Linked DNA regions of Xenopus tropicalis. The protein of the gene in region 1 binds, or shares a complex with, the protein of each later gene. Links are inferred from orthologs where the notes say so. Each region holds a gene or a part of one and is shown in the gene's direction. Other genes may lie near its edges. The genes, in order: ywhag, hdac4, camkk2, casp2 and cftr.

Region 1 (4,524 bases):
TTCGTCCTGCTTGTTATCAAAGAAGGCTGATGCCACAGCAGAACTGGAGGTGTGACTTGGGTTGCCACCCTTGCCATGGGCTAAAACTGGGCAAAAGGGTAGGCCAATAAAGTTTGGGCAGAGCTAGCACATTGGGGATGATGCTGTGATGTTGATGCTGGGTTATTGCATAATTTCTGCCCAGTTTTCAGAACATTAAAACCCTGGATAGAAAGTTTTGAAACTGATTGCTCTTGAAAAACTGGGCTCTCTGGTTCAAAACCAGACAGGCTCCTTTATTTGATCAACTGTGGTTTATAGGCAAAATCCACATAGTGTAAACATTTTAATAAAAAACTACTCTTACTAAAATTGCTCTAACATATATGTTGTTTCTAAAAAGTCTATCCTGAGCACCAGTCTTCTCTCCCTTCTCAGCAATCTGTGAATTGTAAACAGGTGGCATCTCTGCAGCGTGTTCTCCCAGCAGGGTGGCACCGGGAGGATGTCACAGCCTGGAGCATTTTGTTTGTTGAAACATCCTCCAGTTGCAACAGATGAAACGCTTTAGACTGTGAAGTCACCCAGATGCTTAGAAGCCTCTGTCACAACAGATGGAATGTTCCATAGTATACAATCTGATATTGTATTCATTTGTGCATAGTGTTGCCACCTTTCTGGGAAGAAATACCCGCCTCCTTATAGTTTAATCTAATTTTCTATTTATAAACTTGGCATGGACCATCATTTTTACAGTCCAGGCTGGCAAAATACTGGCCAGGTGGCAACCCTAACTGTGCATAGCATCAATTAGTACTTATCAGAAAAGTATAGTTAACTCAAATGCCATAAAGGCTTTTCCAAGTCACAGGGTGTGACAGTAAAGTTTAAGCTTTTAAACTGTTGGTAAAGTTTGTGCCAAGTAAACATGTACCAGCCAGAATGCAGGCCTCCGAGCCTATCACATTCTGAACTGTTCTGACAATGGAATGACTCTACCTGTGTGAATATTACAAGGCACCCAAGAGTAACAGGACAAGTATCACGTCAGGTCAGGCTGATGGAACTATGAAGATTTATTGGATTCCCGGTACACCATTCAGCGTTTAACAAAACAGAACACCCATTTGGAACAAGATTATGATAAATGTTACCGTTAAACTCTCAAGTTAGCAGCTACTGACAATATCAAATTGGAGATATCCCAAATATCACTGCAGGCGATAAGCGACTAGAAGCCGGAGAGCAAGGAGGGAGACGTAGTCTTTTGTTCAAGGCGTTTCCCTACATGCACATCGGTACCGCATGCCTAAGAAAACTACGATTCCCATCAAACCATGCGGATCTACCCTGCCACCCTGTACCGCACTATTTCTGCCTGGAACCACCGCCCCGCAGTCAACCAAGACCTTTTAGTGATCGAAGCACAAACTGCTGCCCTTGTACGGTGGGTGACGGCGCCAAGTAGGCGGGACTTATATTTATTCCAAGTGACGTCAATAGGCTGGGAGGCGGAGTTGGAGTGAGGCAGTCGCTGGAGGTGCTACAGACTGGGTAGTAGCTAGATAGGCAAGCAGCCGTTATTTGCTAGTAGGTGACAGCGAGAGGAGGAAGACTTGCAGATAGCTGTAAAGACGCATTTGACATTTAAGGAGGCTTTGCCTTGGTCCAGCCTCTGCATCTGTTCTGCGCTGTCTCCGCTGCAGTCGAGTGCGAGTCGCAAGCCCCGAACCCATCCGCACGTTCTCTTCGCACGGTCTCGCACTCAGCAACATGGTGGACCGCGAGCAGCTGGTGCAGAAAGCCCGACTGGCGGAGCAAGCTGAGCGCTATGATGATATGGCGGCTGCTATGAAAGCCGTAAGTGCGATGATTGAGAGCTGGAGGGAATGTGTGTGGCCGACCTCATAGTTGTTCATCAGTTTATTACTATGATAAGGGATCAATGCATTTGTACTATGGACACATCTGCAGAGGTGTATCTCCATGTGGTTCCGAGGTGGGCATGTAGGGAAGCTTACCGATTGTATATAGATGGATAGATATAGATATTGCAACCTGTCATTTTCCTTTTTACCGCTTGTCAAACAGCTGACCTTTAGTCATGCACTTCCAGGCAGGGATGCGCAACCTGCGGCCCTCCAGCTGATATGTCACTTATCTATCAGCCCTCCAGCTGATCTATCAGCCCTCCAGCTGATCTATCTATCAGCCCTCCAGCTGATCTATCTATCAGCCCTCCAACTGATCTATAAGCCCTCCAGCTGATCTGTCACTTATCTATCAGCCCTCCAGTTGATCTATCACTTACTATCCACCTGGATGCCACTGTTGGCTGGACTACGCTGCCCATTCCTGCTTTAGGAAAGTGTAAGGGATTTCCCTAGAAGCATTAGTGTGCAGCGGGCATCTACAGTCTGACTCTCCAGCTGAGAACATCAAGTAATGCTGAGATTTGTAGTTCAGTAATGTTAGGATAGTCCAATTAGTCAACAATGTAGTTTTGGTTAAGAATGGATAAAAGGTATTGAGGCATAGTTGTGTTTCCTGTCATTGTGCTGTTTCCCAGTATCCAGGCATGGCATGTATTAGACGCCTATGTAGAACATCATTTATTCACAATGGAATTGTGTTGCCTTGATGATAACTGTGAGGGGGTTGCCCAGGAATATCTTCCCATGGCCCCTCCCAGATTCTCCTAATTTGCTGCATTCTTACTGCTACTGGTAACATTTGGAGACCTTGTGACAGGGATGTCAGACTTGCATCCTCTCAGCTTCTGTGGGACTGCACTGGCCTGGTTGTAAAATCATTTCAGTTATAGGTCAAATAAATGCTGCTGCTCACACAGGGTATCTGTGACTTATAAAGACACTTCTCATCTGCAGACAAACCTTTTAATGGTAGCAGCAGCTATTTCTGCATTTACCCTTGGGCCCTAGAAAGGGAACACCATAAATCCATTGCAATTCTATGGGGGGGGAATGCCTAAGTGTACATGTATGTACTTTGGCTGTTGGGAGGGAGGGGTGGTGACGCTTAGCAACTGCTGAAGAGATGCATGTTGGGCTTCCTCTCTGTATTGTCAGACAAGGGGCCTGTGGAGTAGACATTAGAAAATTGGGATAGCCCTTCATCCCTCCCTTATCTTCATCCTTACAGTTATTTTCTGTAGTTATGACACTTGGGACATAGTGTTACTATGGCATGTGCGCATAATTATAAGTCCTAAGATGGAATATGAATTAACTTTCTATCTGAAGTTGTCTAGAACTAGTTGTGTCCTGTGCCAGAATTCAAGTCTGCATGGAGGCTGTACACATTAAAGGCAGGTGATAGGATATGTTTAAATGATCAAAATTGGGGCATTTTGATCATCTGAACATATTTGCAAGTAGTAGTCAGCACAATACCTTGGATTTCTTTTAGATTAGTGCAGGTTCTCCAATGGCCACTTCTCATCGGCATATACAGACAAAAAATAGTTTTTTTTGTATTTCTTGTTTAAAATGCCTTTATTGCATACATCTTAGGGCATTCCAACATATGTTATCACCTGCCATTAATGTGTACAGCCTCCATGCAGACTTGAATTCTGGCTCAGGATCCGATCCCTAGTAGTGTTCATCTTAAAACCGGCATCAGCCACCTTGTATTTATTCCAATACAAAATGGTCATAAAACAGGATTGTCAAACTTGTGGCCCTCCTGCTGTTGAAATGCAGGTCCCATTTCCTTTAGCTAATATTTGTAGTTCAACAGTCCAAAGAACTGCTTGGGGGGACATTGCTGGTAGTAGTTAATCTGGTATTTTTTCAATAAAATAATGCATAATTAAGGTTTCACAGAGAAAATTATTTTTATGTAGGACTATATTCTGTTTTCATGCAGAATTACCTGGTATATGAAAACATGCAGGCATTGTGAGCTTTCCTTTTATATTAAATCAATTTATTTTGTATTTAAATGATTTAAAAAAAATATTTAGGAAATAAGTAGAAAGACAGGGTTAAAATCTGGCCTATGATGTGATCTTTGTGAAACAAAGCAGTAGTGGGAGGCAGTACCAGCCCTTCCAGAAGATTCTGCATTTGTCATATTGCAGAGAGAGGCTGGACTGGTTAAAGGAGGGAGGGGAATCGAGGGGGGAAAAAGGCAATTGTTTAAAAGGATGGCAAAGTCCTTTTTATTTATTTTTTATACTTGATTGTAGGGATTTTCAGTGATTCCAGGCACTGAATCTCCACCATATTGCCAACGAGCTCTCACTCTTTCTCTTAGTTATAATGGAAGAACAAATATATATTGTATATATTCCACTGTATTTGTATTGTGGATATATGTTCTTTTTTTGACATTATGTTAGTATTGATTTTTTTTTTCATTTTACCCTTTGTGAATTTATTTTGTGAATTTATTTTAGCGAATTATGTTAGATCTGCATATATTCAAGTTTGTTAGCAGCAGGGGAACAAATGGCATGTAACTGATGTCTGTAATTGATTTGTTATATTTTATCAGATGGCTTTTGAAAATGATTAAACA
Region 2 (3,894 bases), on another chromosome or scaffold:
AGCACAAACAGCAATTCCAGCAGCAGCAGCTTCACCTAAACAAGGTGTGTTCCTTATATTCCTTATATTTATATCAGATATTCAGCATCAGGGAGAATTTAGATCCGTATAATGTAATAGTCATTTCACATAGCACACTCCATCAAATCATTATCATATGACTTTGTTGTTGATGTTATATATGGACCATTATCTTATCAGTTGCCGCTTGTTCTGTTGCACTTAATGCCTGGTATTGTCTGTGTGGGTTGAATTACTGCATCACTCCACTTAGGTCACTTATGACTCATTTCCATGAAGTCAACAAAAACCACAGGCATTCTGTTGGGACTTCATATCATTATAATTGTTATCAAGTATCACTGTACAGCAGAAGGGTATATACATCAAACATACTAATTACATACACATACTGACTGAAACAGTGGGAGGTAATGCGTGCTCTGCTCATTAGAGTTTTCAGTGTAATTTTAGCAGCTGTGTTTACATGTAGTACACCACATTCACTGTATTCTTCTATCTTCTATCTCTATTTTTTTTAATGGGTTGGGTTATTAAAATAAAAACTAAGTTGCATGTTGTTGAGGTGCTTAAAAAAAGTGTGTGTCTCTCTTTTATGGATAAATGCATTTTATGGTAGTCAAGTGCCTGCTTTGAGCCTGGCTCTGCAAACGTAGTTTCCATTTTTTAACCTCATAGTAACATAGTAACATAGTAAGTTGGGTTGAAAAAAGACATACGTCCATCAAGTTCAACCATAATGCCTATATATAACCTGCCTAACTACTAGAGGAGTAATTAAAATTTAAATTGGTAGGGCCATTGTAAATACAGCTATCTTTTCTTCCCAATTCTTGTCCTTTAACGTTGGATTTTTAACTTTTTTCCCATAAACTTCTGCTTTAGATTGTTGCTTATTGTACTATACTTTTTATTGATGATTTCTGTATATTCTTGAAACCTTGCTCCTACTGACCAGTCACTTTTGTTGCTAAGCCATTTTTCATTTTACCCAATTTAGATGATTCCTAAAGTGAATGAAGCCTCGCGGCAGCATGAGAGCCACCCCGAGGAGACTGAGGAGGAGTTACGCGAGCATCAGGCACTACACGAGGAACCTTATGCAGAGCGTTTAGCTGAACAAAAGGAACTAAGCCCTGGCAGTGTGGTGCATGTAAAGCAGGAGAAAGAGGAAAGCGATGATGAAGACAATACACTGGAATTGGAACGGAGTAAAATGCAATCTGACCCAGACCTGCTGTTTAGACAGGTATGTTTTTGCCACCTCAGAACTGCTATACGTAATTTTATGTGCATTATCTCAACATAATATCAATAATCAATGGATTTTATAATGAGGATATGTAGTGTCTTACTTTACCTTAAGTAGAATCTTTTTTTCAATCTTAAATCAAAGACCACTTTGTTTTAGAGGTAAGAAGTCCTCTTTCTTTCATTTCAGCAAACATTATTACTGGAGCAACAGCGCATTCATCAACTGAGAAACTATCAGGCTTCCCTAGAGGCTGCAGGCTTAGTTGTGCCATTCAGTGGGCATCGGCCTCTCTCAAGAGCGCAGTCCTCACCTGCCTCTGCGTCATTTCCCATGTCTGTACAGGAGGCCCCCAGTAAACCCAGGTTCACCACAGGTACAGTTTTTGTGATATAATTTGTATAACTAAAGGGGAAGGTTAACTGCTTAATAAAGATTATGAATGTGACCTTTGAATATTCTACAGGCCTTGTGTATGATACATTGATGTTAAAACACCAGTGCATCTGTGGGAACACAAACAGCCATCCTGAGCATGCTGGCAGAATACAAAGTATTTGGTCAAGGCTTCAAGAAACTGGTTTACGTAGCATGTGTGAGGTGAGCAAGTAGCCATTCATTATAATGTATGCATTATTTCTATGCCTTTATATATTTATTAGGGTCCCCCACTGTTTTGCTCAAATTATTTTTTTTCCATAATATAAGTAAACAAGAAATTTTTACCACAGTCAAAATGTTATTAGACCACCATTTACTTTAATCACTGCTTGGATTATGTCTGGCATCACTTATTTAAGTTGTTGCAGAATTTTTATTATTCCAGCAGTCACAGGGCATGTCTCGTGATGCTACAATATGTTTTTTTCTTCTCAATTTTCATATGGTTTCAAAGATTTTGTTTTATTATTGTTTTAGCAGAAGTAGGTTTGACTCTGAATGGGAAATCTGGCCTGTTGGAAGATCTAAAGCATTAGGGCAAAGGCACACTAAGCATATTGACTTCTTTCTTCCGCAGACGGGGTTAAAAGCTAACTGTGCCCTTGCCCTAAGGCTGGGACAATACCCTACACTCCAATCAGTCTACCCCTATAACTGCACCTGAAGCCACAGCGTCAACCTAGGTGCAAGCACCAGGAGCAGATTTTGGCGCCAAAATGCATGTACTGTGTTTCAGTACTGAAATAAGCTCCGGGGATAATTGATAGTTCTTCTCACTTGGATCTATTCCGTCTTTCACCACAGTGTATTCGGGGCAGAAAGGCAACCCTGGAAGAATTGCAGACTGTGCATTCTGAGGCTCACACTCTCTTATACGGCACCAATCCCTTGAACCGTCAGAAGCTTGAAGGTAAGACCCTGCCTAATCTGGTTTTTGCGTTTTCAGCCAGACTTCCTGTCTGCTCCGCTGTGTGTGCCTGCAAGCGAGCAAGTGCTGTGTAGATCAGTGGAGTGGCATACAGGATTAGACCCTCTTCTCTCAGGCTGAAAAAAAAACCCAGGCTCAAAGCAGCAGAGCCAGCGCTTCATGGAGCCTTACCCTAAGGGCAAGGGTACATAAGGATATTTGTCACCCACTGCACAAACAAAGCTTCTGAAAATACCTGTCCATTAATTAACAGTGGGATTACTGCATGTAATGCAGTGCTGTTGCGGGCGTGTGCCTTCTCCATTTTTCCGCAACCAATCTCCTAAAATTACCTCTCAGTTAACTAACATTGGGATCACGCATTTAAAAGTTTGCATACAGTGATCTTAGTTGATGGAGAGGTATTTTTAGGAGGTTGGTAGCCCATGTGTAATGCTGATTTCCTGTTCCCCTGTACCATCACCCTAAGAACAGGAAAAGTGTACCTACCAGGTGCCTTGAGGAAATCTAGTATATCTGGTGTGCATTCTTTAATAAATAGCCCTATGGTAGCATCTAAAATATTAGGGCAACCAGAAAATACAAAGAGCCATGCTATCTTCTATTTAGTGCCTTATTATCTTGTTCTTGGTTGCCGTGTTCCTTAAAGTGGCCATAAACCGGCAGATTTCAGCTTACCTACCGCTGGTCCCCCAGATGGGCCTACCCAACCAACATCTGGCCTAAAATTGGACAGGTTTGATTTTCCTGTCGGATCGTGGACTGCATCGGCTTGTTGATGCGGTTCTGACAGCCCATATACCCACTGTTTTAACCATGCCAAACAAGGAATCTTAATGTGTATGGCCCCCTTTAGTGTCTGAGGGACAGCACAAAGTGTGCTCTAAAATTTTTCATTATATTGAATACAATAACAAGCAAAATATGAAGTATCCATATAAATCTCAATAACATGAACATATAAATTGCCAATAGAAATTATAATATTAAAGTATCTGTCATTACCAACATACATATATCTAAAACTAGATCTAGAATCTAAGATTATGCAGGATCACGTTGTATTAAGCCCTTTATGAAGTGTTGTGGTTTTAGAGTATGGCATAAATTCTCTCTTTTTCTCTAACTTGTAGTAGTTCCAGAAATATTTTCTATTTTGCCCAATATTCTTTACGCACCACTTAACTTTTTGTTCTGAAATCTGCCCCATGTGTTCAGCAATTGCATGCAAATAACTGCGTTTCTCCACCTC
Region 3 (3,894 bases), on another chromosome or scaffold:
CCCCATTACTGCAGCTTTTCTGGTATTTGCCAAAATCAACAGATTGCCAGTCCAGGGCTCCTTTGCACTCCATAAATGAGTCCTATCATGTATCAGATGAAAATGTACCGAGCAGGCACAGGCTAATAATGGCTCGTCAGATGCTACTAAACTATAATGTTAATTTTTTAGCTGTCTATGGAGTGATAGGAGCTGTAGTTTAACATTGGTAGGATCATACATCATACATTCTTCTTAAAAGAGCAGTATGCTTTTTATTCTGTAAATAATGTTTAAATGTTATTAACAAAAGATAAGCTTAACTGTTGAATAGAAGATAGTTACTGTTAATAGAAAAATGTGTTAACCCAACAGTGCATTATCAGAAGATTATACACCGTGACGTCAAGCCATCTAACCTCCTGCTGGGAGAGGATGGGCACATTAAGATCGCTGACTTTGGTGTCAGTAATACATTTGAAGGGAACGATGCCTTTCTGTCCAACACAGTGGGAACACCTGCATTCATGGCTCCAGAAACCCTCTCTGAAACCCGCAAAATATTCTCAGGAAAGGTAATAATCTCTGCTTGATTTTTGTTTCCCCTAATATGACATGTCAGTCTGTTCTTAAGCAATTTTATTAAATTACTAGTTAAGCTGTCTAAAATGTGAGCTTACTGGGTTATTTGCTTGCTGTTTTTGATACCCTGTGGTACACCTCCACTGACGCTTCATTGCTAGGATACGTCTTGCTGTTAACACCAACTTTACAGATATAGATGGGATTAAAGCACCATGGCTTACAAAATGCTGTTCATACGCTGCCCTCTTTCTGCAGTGAAGGCATGAAATATGTATATTGATCTGTAAGTGCTTTGACATACTGTTTCAGATAAATGCATCAGAGTCTGAAGATGTAGATGCCACCCCACACAAACCTATGCACAAGTCTACAAGCTGGGGACATTTTATGGTGTATCTGGTGCGCAGTTTGCAAAAGGGCGCTGCGCTGGGTGCCAAAAGCTTCAGTGCTTTAGGCACAACAAGTTCAGTAGAAACTGGGCTTGCTTTTATTTATCACAATGGAGAACAAGTAACTATTATATCTAGTTCTCTCTGACAGTTGTTGGGGATCACTCTGCACATAACTCTTTTTACAGGAGAATTGTCTCTTTACTCTATCCTCTACCCTCAGACATCTTTTCCTTCAGCAGTGTTTCTGTGAGACCCAAAATCTTTTTTAGAATCAGTCATGCACCTTTTTCTAATATAATATAGGACGAAATTTGATATTATTAAAGATGATCTTGGGGAGTCGACTTAAAAAACATGGGGACACAATTCTGGATCTCCAGTCCACAGTTTTCACTGACAGAATGGGCTTAGCTCCTTCTTTCTTCACCTTTTAAAACCATACTAGTAGATAGAAATACTGTAACTGTATAATAAAGCAAAGGCAATGCACAAAGACCAGATAGAATCAATACAACATTCCAGAGACAGCATATGGAAAGCAGACATGTGACACAGGTATTATCCTGTTCCCAAGACCAAGTATGGAAAATGGGCGCTGGGTGAAAGCTGCTATTTTTGTTCTAGGAAAATGTGATGGTGCTGGGGAACGGAGGGGATATATGCAAATGCTGTTATTTGGGTGGGGGAGATGTACCCAACTTATATACATGGTAGGAAAATGTAGGGTTTACATGTTCTTTAATTCCTTTAACAATGATTGCATTAAAATTTCTGTCCTATGATGTTAGGAATTTCTCTGCCACTGTTTGACATAAATCTGAGACTAATGGCATTCTTCTAAACATAGTTTTGATGCTAATATGGAAGAGAATAAGGAAGAGCAAAACTATATTTTAGCAGACTGTTAATGTTAATAAGAAAAAGTGCAACTTCCAGAGACTGATACTGTTGGCTTGCTTCACCCCTCTGTAGAACTGTACACAAACCATTCACCTTTTGTCATTCCATATGTAAGAGGCTTATGGAAAATACGTAAGCAAGGCTGCTCTTGGAACAGATACTTTCCTAGAGTCAGGGACAGACTAGGGTGCTAAGGACCTAATTTCTGTTCTTTCTTAATCAACTTCTCTAGACATTATAACCTTGTTTACCTGCTTCTTTCTCTCGCTCTCTATCATAAAGTAGAAGAATGCCCCCTGAACTGTGCCCACATTTTTCCCAGTGTCCTATGTGCCAGTCAACATTGCCTAATATATATATTTTTTCCACCGATCCCAAAGAAAAGTGGCTACCATATCTTTGGATCATTGCTCACTTTGCGGTGATTATGATTTAGAAGGAAGTAGCCTTTAAAAACAAAACAAATGTATTTTTCCTGTGTGAGGTACGTACCCACAGCTTAACCAACTGCTACCTAAGTGTTAAATATGCGCAGAGAGTTCACATGTAGGCAGCAAGTAGGGATGTTACCATGGGTACCGGATTCTCTTATATCAGCTCAGTGTGTGACAGATGTACAGTTCCACATTGCAGGTTCATTAACACTATCTTTTTTTTCCCTTTTTTAGGCACTGGATGTTTGGGCAATGGGTGTGACTCTGAATTGTTTTGTATTTGGTCAGGTAATTTACCCTCCGCCATGTCAAATCCATACATACATACTAAATATTATGGTTCCACTTTAAACATACAGTATGTACATTAGTATGAAGAGTACGCAGAACATTTTATTATTCAGGTTGAATTTTACACCCCCTCATTGTTTTCAGTTTCACCCTTTCCAAGGGGAACTTAATCCCCTCATTGTTTTCAGTTTCACCCTTTCCAAGGGGCTAAGTTCCCCTCATTGTATCCCCTCATTGTTTTCATTTTCACCCTTTCCAAGGGGAACTTAATCCCCTCAATTTTTTCAGTTTCACCAATTCAAGGAAAATCTAATCCCCTCATTTTCAGTTTCACCCGGGTTAAAGCACATTTTTTGAGTTTTAACAATGCTTTCAATTCAAAACATTATGGATTTTCGAATGTAATCTCGAAATTTTCATTCGAAAGATTTAAGCATTATCGTGACATTTTATAAATACAGCAATGATCGAGTTTAAATCAAATTTATACCATGTCAAGTTTATATGACATCAAGACCAGAAAAAAAGGAATTTTAGTAAATGTGCCCCTTAGTGTTAAGTATGCCTTGCCAAGAATGCCAGCCACTTAGATGTGGGTGTCTAGTGTCAGGTATAACGAGTGTAGGTGAGCCATGCGGGTCCTGTTATTGAGGTTAAAGCCTCAGGTGGCAACTTTAAAAGCCAGCATTCCATAAAAGTGTTTGGAGTTAAAAGGTTACCACATTGTTAATGGGTTGTACTACACAGTAACTAATAAACTCAACTCTGATATAAGATACCCATCTATTCAACCTTCTCCTCTATTATACAAAAAAAAGCCAGAGCAGTAATTGTTTCTATAAATACATATTTTTATAGATTTGATAACTATAGATAGATAACTTTACTTTCCTTGTAAGTGACGCTGGTCCAATTTTTGTATATTCTTTAGTGCCCATTTATGGATGAAAGGATTCTAGCTCTACACAGCAAAATAAAGAATCAGCCACTGGAGTTTCCTGACCAGTAAGTCTTTTTTGCTTATTTGCATCCTGAGATTTTGAATTAAACCCTACTTTTGGTTAAACCAGAGAAAAGGGGGCATATTTATGATTGCTTTTGCCTTTTGGGTCAGCAATTATAAAAGAAATCCAGTGTGAGTTAAGGAACTCACGCCAGCCATCATTACAAAAGCTTTGTTAGTTGAGGTATTTTTTTTAATAATAAAAAGTTTGGCAGCTTTTATGTAGCCCCATAAATGGGACCCACAGTTACCAGTTAGTGGGTTTTTATACTAGAATTGAATCCCATCTTGTCTTTTTTATTGGCAGGCA
Region 4 (2,941 bases), on another chromosome or scaffold:
ATATGGTATATTTATTCTGCAGAAAGCATAACCATACCTGAGTAAACAGCCATAGAAGCTCCCTCTGTTTGTTTAAGATAGCAACTGACTCCTGGATTCCTGCCTTCTGTAACGATTGATCATTATCCCAGTTCTGGCCAATACCTATGAGACTGTGACTAATGACCACAGTGGAGCTATCCTTGGGATTATGGGACTTGGTTGGTGCCCATGGAATCTTGTTGTTACAACTCCTATCTCTGTGTTCCAGAGGAGGCTGACCGTGGGGTGGATCAGCGGGATGGGAGAGAGCAGTCGGCTTCTCCAGGCTGCGAGCAGAGCGATGCCGGCAGGGAGGACATAAAAGTCCGGCTCCCCACACAGTCAGACATGATCTGTGCCTATGCCTGTCTCAAAGGTAAATTCTTGTTTGTGCTGGGGCCCCTGTCTGGCTCCTGCAGTTTAATAGTATTTCTCTACTGCTTATTCTTCATTTATTTCCCCAGGCACCGTGTCCTTGCGTAACACCAAGCGAGGTTCCTGGTTTGTGCAGGATCTCGTCTCTGTGTTCTCCCAGTACTCCAAAAACACTCATGTAGCCGACATGTTGGTCAAGGTGTGTATTGGCTTCATTTGTAGCAAGGCCCACATGCTTTGTGGCACTTCAGATGTTGTTGATCTAAAATTGCCAATGAAAATTTTGGTTCAGAAGGCACCTTCCTGTTCTAGGCTCTCACTGATATGTCTCATTTCAGGTGAATGCACTTATAAAGGAGCGCGAGGGGCATGCTCCCGGCACTGAGTTCCACCGGTGCAAAGAGATGTCAGAATATTGCAGCACATTGTGCCGTGACCTGTATCTCTTCCCTGGCATTGGGCCCCCCAAGTGATTCCCCCGGCATTACTGCCCAGGAACCAGCCACTTCTTTTGTACATTTTTTTTTAATGTAATATAAATGGTTTATTTTTACAGAAGATTTACATGTTTTTTGCTCGTCTTCCATATTTGTGATCATTTTACTTTTTTAAAATTCCTTACCGTTTCTGGTGTTGCAGACGTTTGCCTGAACAAGATGTCTTTCCATTCCAAAGACTGTATTTTGGACCATATTATAAGTAAGATAAAGCCACTGCCTGAGATCCGTTCAGCCAAAACCCAGCAGTGGGTATAATGTTTTTTTTATATTGCTTCAGCCGAGAGCCAGAGATGTGTATTTTGTTATCCCAAGATCCCCTCAGCCCAAAGCTAGAGGCATGTATTCCGCTATCCCAAGATCCCCTCAGCCCAAAGCTAGAGGCATGTATTCCGCTATCCCAAGATCCCCTCAGCCCAAAGCTAGAGGCATGTATTCCGCTATCCCAAGAACCCCTCAGCCCAAAGCTAGAGGCGTGTATTCCGCTATCCCAAGATCCCCTCAGCCCAAAGCTAGAGGCGTGTATTCCGCTATCCCAAGATCCCCTCAGCCCTAAGCTAGAGGCATGTATTCCGCTATCCCAAGACCCCCTCAGCCCAAAGCCGGAGGTGTGTATTCCGCTATCCCAAGATCCCCTCAGCCCAAAGCTAGAGGCATGTATTCTGCTATCCCAAGATCCCCTCAGCCCAAAGCTGGAGGCATGTATTCCGCTATCCCAAGATCCCCTCAGCCCAAAGCCGGAGATGTGTATTCTCTAATCCAGAGGATTTCTTCTGTTCCAGGATCCCTTCAGATCAAGCCAGTGGTTTGTTTGTTTTTTTAAACAAGGATCCACTCAACCTAATGTCAGCCGTGTGTATTCTGTAATTTTCAAAGATCCATTTCCTATGGCAGTATAATACTCCAGGAGGTAGACTCCTGAAGAACTTTTGGGACACCCCTACGTTTCTCTGTGTATTGTAACTGCCCGACGTCCTGCCAGTATCATGATTTTGCTGCACTTTGACTCTCTCTCAGGTCTGTCTCGTTATTTGTCACTGCCACGTACTGTAAATTTTATACTTGGCCAATCACTCTGTCGTAGCACTGCGGGACCTGTTGCAGTAGAGTGTCTCGCCATTATACCATGGAAGGCCAGCACTTCAATAAACCTCTATTTTATGATTTAAGTGTTTTTTTCCTTTCTCTTTCTACATTTTTAGTACTACAAGACTGGTATGGTTGTTCTTTCAACTGTCTCATTACTGCTCAGTTCTGTATGCTTTAGTTGCATGGTATATCATGCGTAAAAGTGAATTCACAAATCCCACTTAGAGAGTGCTCTGCGGGGCATTGCTGGTTCTTGTTTTACTGATTTGTGAACCCAAACTGTCTCTGAAGGAAGTCACCTCATCAGATCAATGTATGATTGGTCATTGATTGTATTTCTGCATGCCCTAAGATGGCCATTCATGGGATGGCACTGACTGCCCGCTCAAGAACAGTGGTTTTCCTTGTCGACATTTTGTTAGGAAAGTCACTGTGACCCTATAAGAAATTATGGCTTTTTGATACAGAATGTATTTGCTTAAACTGGGCCTCCTGATTTGAACTTGTATTCTCTCTTTTGTGAAATTGTTTCCGATCTCTTTAGGTCCCCATAGACGGGCCAATTTTTGCTGCCGAAATTGGTCCCTTAAACCAATTTGGCAGCTAACCGGCCCGTGTATGGGCACTACCGACAGGCCTGCCCAACCGATATCTGGCCTGAAATTGGCAGTTTAAAAAAATCGTTTGATTGGGGACCCCATCGGCTCGTTGATGCGGTCCCCAGACCAACTTTTCCTATACCCGTCATTATAATTCGATCGTTTGGCCCCAGGGCCAAACAATCGAATTAGCCTTGATTCTCCCGATATCTCCCATCTGTAGGTGGGGGATATCGGAAGACGATCCGCTCGCTCGATCTTAAGGTGAATGGGGACCGTTTGTCCCTCCACCATTCTCCTTTACTGAGTTCCTTCAGTTTGGCTCTTGGTTTCTGTTAATATGCTGGTAACTCCTCTCTG
Region 5 (4,483 bases), on another chromosome or scaffold:
ATGAGTGCAAGTTCGGTTGTGGTCCTTCAGTTTTCCCACAGTCAGCTGCTCGTAAAACACTAAACAGCATGCACTCCTAGCACTTTTTAGTTGCGCTAAGTGCTGCCAAGTCTTTCATGCCTCATGTTTTGAATTTGCATCTACTGATGCAAGGGAATCCTGGAGCTACTGCCACCTCCACTGCTACTTACTGTCACCTCCAGACCAGTCAGTAGCTCCAGGGTTTCCTAAGCACCCTGCGTCAATGGGAGCAGAGAATCTGCCTAAATAATCAACAAATGTGACAGTGAAACAAACAACCATTTATTGGCTCCAATGTTTAACAAAAAATGTAAAAAGCAAATTATTGGAGCACCCAATGTCCATTATTTTTTGTGCAATCTGTGCCTAAAGAATAGGACACACATGTCATTCCCACACCTAACACCAGAAACTACATCAACCAGGCCCTGGTGCAATTGAGACTGATTTGCAATTAAGTGTAATTGCAGTAATTTTGATGTACTGGCCACAGCTGTGTCAGATCTACTGGTGTGTGCAACCATGCTGGAATTCTGGGAAAAAAGGCATTATGGGACATGGCGATTGTGCTTGAAATTGTACTTTGCTCACAACAGTCAGTAGTAAGCAAAATTGACGCCTTATAGCCCCCTATTCTTAGCATGTTCTGTAAGTTTACATTTAAAATAAATGTCAGTTTTTTATTCTATTGGAAAATTGTATAGAATGACACTACCTTCAAATTTAATTCCCTTTCTTTCTGTGGTGAAAACTAGAACAGAATAAAGAGATAAATCTTTCTCATGGAATGTAATCTCGCCCAAAGTATCCAAACCCACATTCCTTCATTAACTGGGCAATGCATAGTGCAGTAAAAGATAACTATGTAACAATGCATTGCTTAGCAGGAAACCCTTTATGTTCGTTCCTAAGGTCATTGCATCTTAAAGTAACGTTTTTTGCAGCAACACTTTTATAGGTTGCATAGGAGACTGATTTGATTCGCTCTGTATACTGAACATTGTCATACTCCTCACTAATAAGTTCTGTGGGCAGGTAACTGTTGCTTATGCTCAAGCAATATAAAGTGCAAGCACCAGAGGTTAATGACCAAAATAGTAGGGAAAGACCAGATCTACCTTTCATCAGCACACAAGTCTGCAACTCCCCTAAGGTCTGATGGGAGACAGTTTTCTTAAGTATTCATGGGTTAATTCATGTTGGTGACATTAAAAACAAGGCAGGGGCAAACACGGCATAGAAGTGCTGCAAGCCTGCTGTACTTAGTGCTCCCAACCTTTATGTTCTCAATAAGTTGATATAGCCAGCATTTCTGTTACACATGAAGGGGAGAAGCATCTGACAGGAGCACTGGGGTGACTACAAAACTGATATCTATTTAAATATAGAAATCCTGCCAGCAGGAGCACATTATATATAATATACTCCTTGTGTATGTACAGAATTGCTTTTAATATGTTGTATACGATGCACTTAATGATAGAGGTTTAGCAGTACTGATTGTGAGAAAACAATTCAGCTTATTAAAAGAACACATTCTGTTTGCAGCACAAGCACACCCCTTTTTGTTACCTAAACGGAGAAAGGGAGGGGAGAGGGAGAATGAGAGAAAAGCAGAAGGAAGGAATGAAAGGCTGGGCTCTCTCTGTGCCTGGGCAGAGTCAAGGAGGGAGTGACTTCACCAGGCTGAGGGAATAAGGTGCGAGAGTGGTGACAGAGTGACATTACTGTGCCAAGAAGCCTGCAGCTGGCAGCACTGTGTCACCATGCAGAGATCCCCTCTGGAGAAAGCCAGCATCTTTTCACAGATTTTCTTTAGGTAAGTTCCTTCATACCTGTGCTAACCTGTTACTGACTGGCACAGAGAATAATGGCAGAGACATTCTAACTCTGGTGGGGTGCAGTGCCATGGTATGGTGCTGATGAGTTTAGGCCAGGAACATTCAAAGCTTCTACATTCAGGATCCTGATTTAGCAGTATCTTTATTACCCTGGACAAAAAACAAACACTCTGATTAATAAATCAGTTGCTGGCATTTTGGACTTTTACTGCTTGTACTTGCTTCATTTAGCCTGCACAAATACAGATCCAATGGCAAATATTTCTGCACTGCTTGTATTAGCTAAAGATGACTACAAGACAATTGTCAGTAATATACCCTATCTTTCACACTTACAGTAGCCCCAACCAGTTTACGTCTGTTTGCATTACAAAGGGAAAGTTAATTTTACGTTGACTTTTTGTGTGGATTCAAAGGATCTTCAGTATTGTTTTTTTAATTATTACATTTGCTATTCTAGCTAACCTTTTGGCTTAGCCTCCATTTGAAAATACAATCTGATTATCAGGGTCACTGACCTCAGCAACTATATTGCTTACTTTTGTGTTTAGACCATCACTTTGTCATTTTCCATTTTGATTTCAAAACTTCACTTTGGTTGCTAAGTATATTAACCCCTAGCAGGCAATTAAAAGTTGAAGAACCAAATATTTAAATAATTAAAAATCTATGAATACCAGTTGCAAATTGCCTTAGATTACTGTTATCTATGCCATATAAAAGTTAATTTTAAGGTTAACTACCACTAAATGGTTTTTTGATTAGCTTTGGGTGGTTTTTATAGCATGCACCATAACATAAAAGATTGTAAGCAGCACTTCAAGGCATAAAACGTACTGTATTGAAGAACACATTCTGCGTCGTTCTCTGACATGCTACTAGATATACCTATGTGTTTTACAAAGCATGTTAGCAGGAATCTTGTTACTCATCTACTAAAATGTCTCAAAATTTTTTACAGGCAAGGCACATTGTAATATTAACATGGCTGAAAGGATAATCTTGTTATTTAATCAAATAGTGACTGCAGGGGTCAAGCAGCAGGAGCTGTTAGCAAAAAACAGTGTAGGTGCACTGTTATTCCAGTATTTGAATAGAATTCATTGTATGATAGGGTATTGCTAAAGATTTGTGTGTCCCATAACAGTGGCTTTATTATTTCTATCCATCCTGGTAGTTTATTTTCATAACAGGCAGCTGGATTTATTCATGTCCTTGTATTAGTTGTGCTGTTCTGATTGTTATGGGATTTGGGCTCAAAAATCCTTTATGTGCATTTGCCTTGGCTTGCGAAATTGGAATTTTCAGAGGACAACAGGTGTGCTTAGCCTTACCACACATCACCTTTAAACAAGGAAGCTTAATACCAAAATAGCACAGACCTGCCTTATGATGTTTATTGTGTGACCATATTTGAAGCAAAGAATGAATAACCTTATCATTTAATGGAATAAGGACTTTGATTTTGATCTTATATTTCTAACTCCACGAGTTACATGAAATAACTCAGATTTTGTGGAATTGTATTTTTAGTGCTCCATTTTTTTCTGCATATTTACCTAAAAATCTGCCAGTTTAACCTTTTACAAAATTCATCAGAGCCAGCTAAATGGGACACCTATTCTAATTTCATTCAACCATGTGTATGTGGGTGTGTATGCAGAGTAACATTTTATAAAAAGAAATGACATCCAGCAAAATTATTAAGATAAATTAGAATTATATAGAAAATTGAGTGTCAATGCAAATCATTTTAGGCCAACAAATATTTGGAAATGGACTAAAAGGTCATTTGTCACTGAAGCTGTTGAAATACAAAATAAAAAGACAATTGCAGCAAGCTGTTTATGTCTGTTTGTTAAACTGTAGTTTGCGTGATTTGTAAACAGCGGTGCATACTACATAGACATAGCCATAGGCTATTAGGCAATAAAGGAGCATAGCAGTTAACTGAGAGTAAGAAACAAAAACTAATAGCATTGTTGTAATGAAAGGCACATTGGCCCCAATGCAGAATTTGTTGTCCTATACCCCTAGTCACAACCAGTTTGTAAATTCAATCCCCTTTCTCCATGTGGCCCATTAGGGCTTATTTACAAAGAAAGTGCACTGTGAAAAATGTAAATGCAATTCAACATGTGTTTTACTAACAAAGTCTCTATAAGAGTAGACTCCTAAAAAATTCCAATAACCAATGTTGACTCAAATCCCTTTCACAGAGCAATGGCTAAGAGAGGTGTATCAATGTATATATCATGCTTTCTTACATCTTATAAAGCCTGATTGTTACAGAATCATATACTGGGAGTTTACTTGCCCAGGGGCCACCATCTTCAATAGGCTAATAGACCAGGCTAATCATTACCCTTGTGATAATCAAATTAACATCAGACCAATAGACACTTGTTATGTACAATTTAGTTTTTTTTATTGACCCAGAAAGTGTTTACAGATCTAGAAATACACATGCTTTCATATTGCATCATTCCTACCATAAGAAATGTATCCCTTGCGTTTCAAACAAGCTGAAGTATTTTTATGATTATTATTTTAAAAACACCTCAGATGGTGACTCTACTGTGTGGCAACATTGTATTTCCAGGTATTGATATCCATTAATT

What was found.
Region 2: the proteins of ywhag (region 1) and hdac4 are in contact, whole or in part, in a crystal structure (PDB 3UZD), measured with the Homo sapiens proteins. The link is inferred for Xenopus tropicalis from reciprocal best matches to the Homo sapiens genes YWHAG and HDAC4. Residues at the interface, in NP_036611.2 of Homo sapiens: Asn43, Leu44, Ser46, Val47, Lys50, Asn51, Arg57, Phe122, Lys125, Arg132, Tyr133, Gly174, Leu177, Asn178, Val181, Glu185, Leu221, Ile222, Leu225, Asn229, Trp233; in NP_001365345.1 of Homo sapiens: Ser348, Pro349, Ser350, Leu351, Pro352, Asn353, Ile354, Leu356.
Region 3: the proteins of ywhag (region 1) and camkk2 are in contact, whole or in part, in a crystal structure (PDB 6Y6B), measured with the Homo sapiens proteins. The link is inferred for Xenopus tropicalis from reciprocal best matches to the Homo sapiens genes YWHAG and CAMKK2. Residues at the interface, in NP_036611.2 of Homo sapiens: Ser46, Val47, Lys50, Asn51, Arg57, Arg132, Tyr133, Gly174, Leu177, Asn178, Val181, Glu185, Ile222, Leu225, Asn229, Trp233; in NP_001257414.1 of Homo sapiens: Leu99, Ser100, Leu101, Gln102, Glu103, Arg104.
Region 4: the proteins of ywhag (region 1) and casp2 are in contact, whole or in part, in a crystal structure (PDB 6S9K), measured with the Homo sapiens proteins. The link is inferred for Xenopus tropicalis from reciprocal best matches to the Homo sapiens genes YWHAG and CASP2. Residues at the interface, in NP_036611.2 of Homo sapiens: Glu15, Asn43, Val47, Arg57, Arg61, Lys125, Arg132, Tyr133, Pro170, Gly174, Leu177, Asn178, Val181, Glu185, Glu213, Asp214, Lys217, Asp218, Leu221, Ile222, Leu225, Asn229, Leu232, Trp233; in NP_116764.2 of Homo sapiens: Asp137, Leu138, Ser139, Leu140, Pro141, Phe142, Pro143, Val144, Cys145, Glu146, Leu150, Lys152, Lys153, Leu154, Ser157.
Region 5: the proteins of ywhag (region 1) and cftr are in contact, whole or in part, in a crystal structure (PDB 5D3E), measured with the Homo sapiens proteins. The link is inferred for Xenopus tropicalis from reciprocal best matches to the Homo sapiens genes YWHAG and CFTR. Residues at the interface, in NP_036611.2 of Homo sapiens: Lys50, Arg57, Arg61, Lys125, Arg132, Tyr133, Leu177, Asn178, Val181, Glu185, Ile222, Leu225, Asn229, Leu232; in NP_000483.3 of Homo sapiens: Arg766, Gln767, Ser768, Val769, Leu770.

The regions. Positions count from the first base shown.
Region 1 is NC_030678.2:94,295,060-94,299,583, reverse strand, and holds the start of ywhag (14-3-3 protein gamma), read left to right. Parts: upstream 1-1,612; 5' UTR 1,613-1,752; coding exon 1,753-1,839; intron 1,840-4,524. UniProt on the Homo sapiens protein: Adapter protein implicated in the regulation of a large spectrum of both general and specialized signaling pathways. Binds to a large number of partners, usually by recognition of a phosphoserine or phosphothreonine motif.
Region 2 is NC_030685.2:60,780,595-60,784,488, reverse strand, and holds part of hdac4 (histone deacetylase 4), read left to right. Parts: coding exon 1-44; intron 45-1,021; coding exon 1,022-1,270; intron 1,271-1,462; coding exon 1,463-1,649; intron 1,650-1,739; coding exon 1,740-1,873; intron 1,874-2,518; coding exon 2,519-2,624; intron 2,625-3,894. UniProt on the Homo sapiens protein: Responsible for the deacetylation of lysine residues on the N-terminal part of the core histones (H2A, H2B, H3 and H4).
Region 3 is NC_030677.2:162,455,343-162,459,236, forward strand, and holds part of camkk2 (calcium/calmodulin-dependent protein kinase kinase 2), read left to right. Parts: intron 1-354; coding exon 355-554; intron 555-2,524; coding exon 2,525-2,578; intron 2,579-3,512; coding exon 3,513-3,586; intron 3,587-3,891; coding exon 3,892-3,894. UniProt on the Homo sapiens protein: Calcium/calmodulin-dependent protein kinase belonging to a proposed calcium-triggered signaling cascade involved in a number of cellular processes. Isoform 1, isoform 2 and isoform 3 phosphorylate CAMK1 and CAMK4. Isoform 3 phosphorylates CAMK1D.
Region 4 is NC_030683.2:7,293,736-7,296,676, reverse strand, and holds the end of casp2 (caspase-2), read left to right. Parts: intron 1-250; coding exon 251-397; intron 398-485; coding exon 486-595; intron 596-734; coding exon 735-869; 3' UTR 870-2,062; downstream 2,063-2,941. UniProt on the Homo sapiens protein: Is a regulator of the cascade of caspases responsible for apoptosis execution. Might function by either activating some proteins required for cell death or inactivating proteins necessary for cell survival.
Region 5 is NC_030679.2:68,496,950-68,501,432, forward strand, and holds the start of cftr (cystic fibrosis transmembrane conductance regulator), read left to right. Parts: upstream 1-1,641; 5' UTR 1,642-1,787; coding exon 1,788-1,840; intron 1,841-4,483. UniProt on the Homo sapiens protein: Epithelial ion channel that plays an important role in the regulation of epithelial ion and water transport and fluid homeostasis. Mediates the transport of chloride ions across the cell membrane.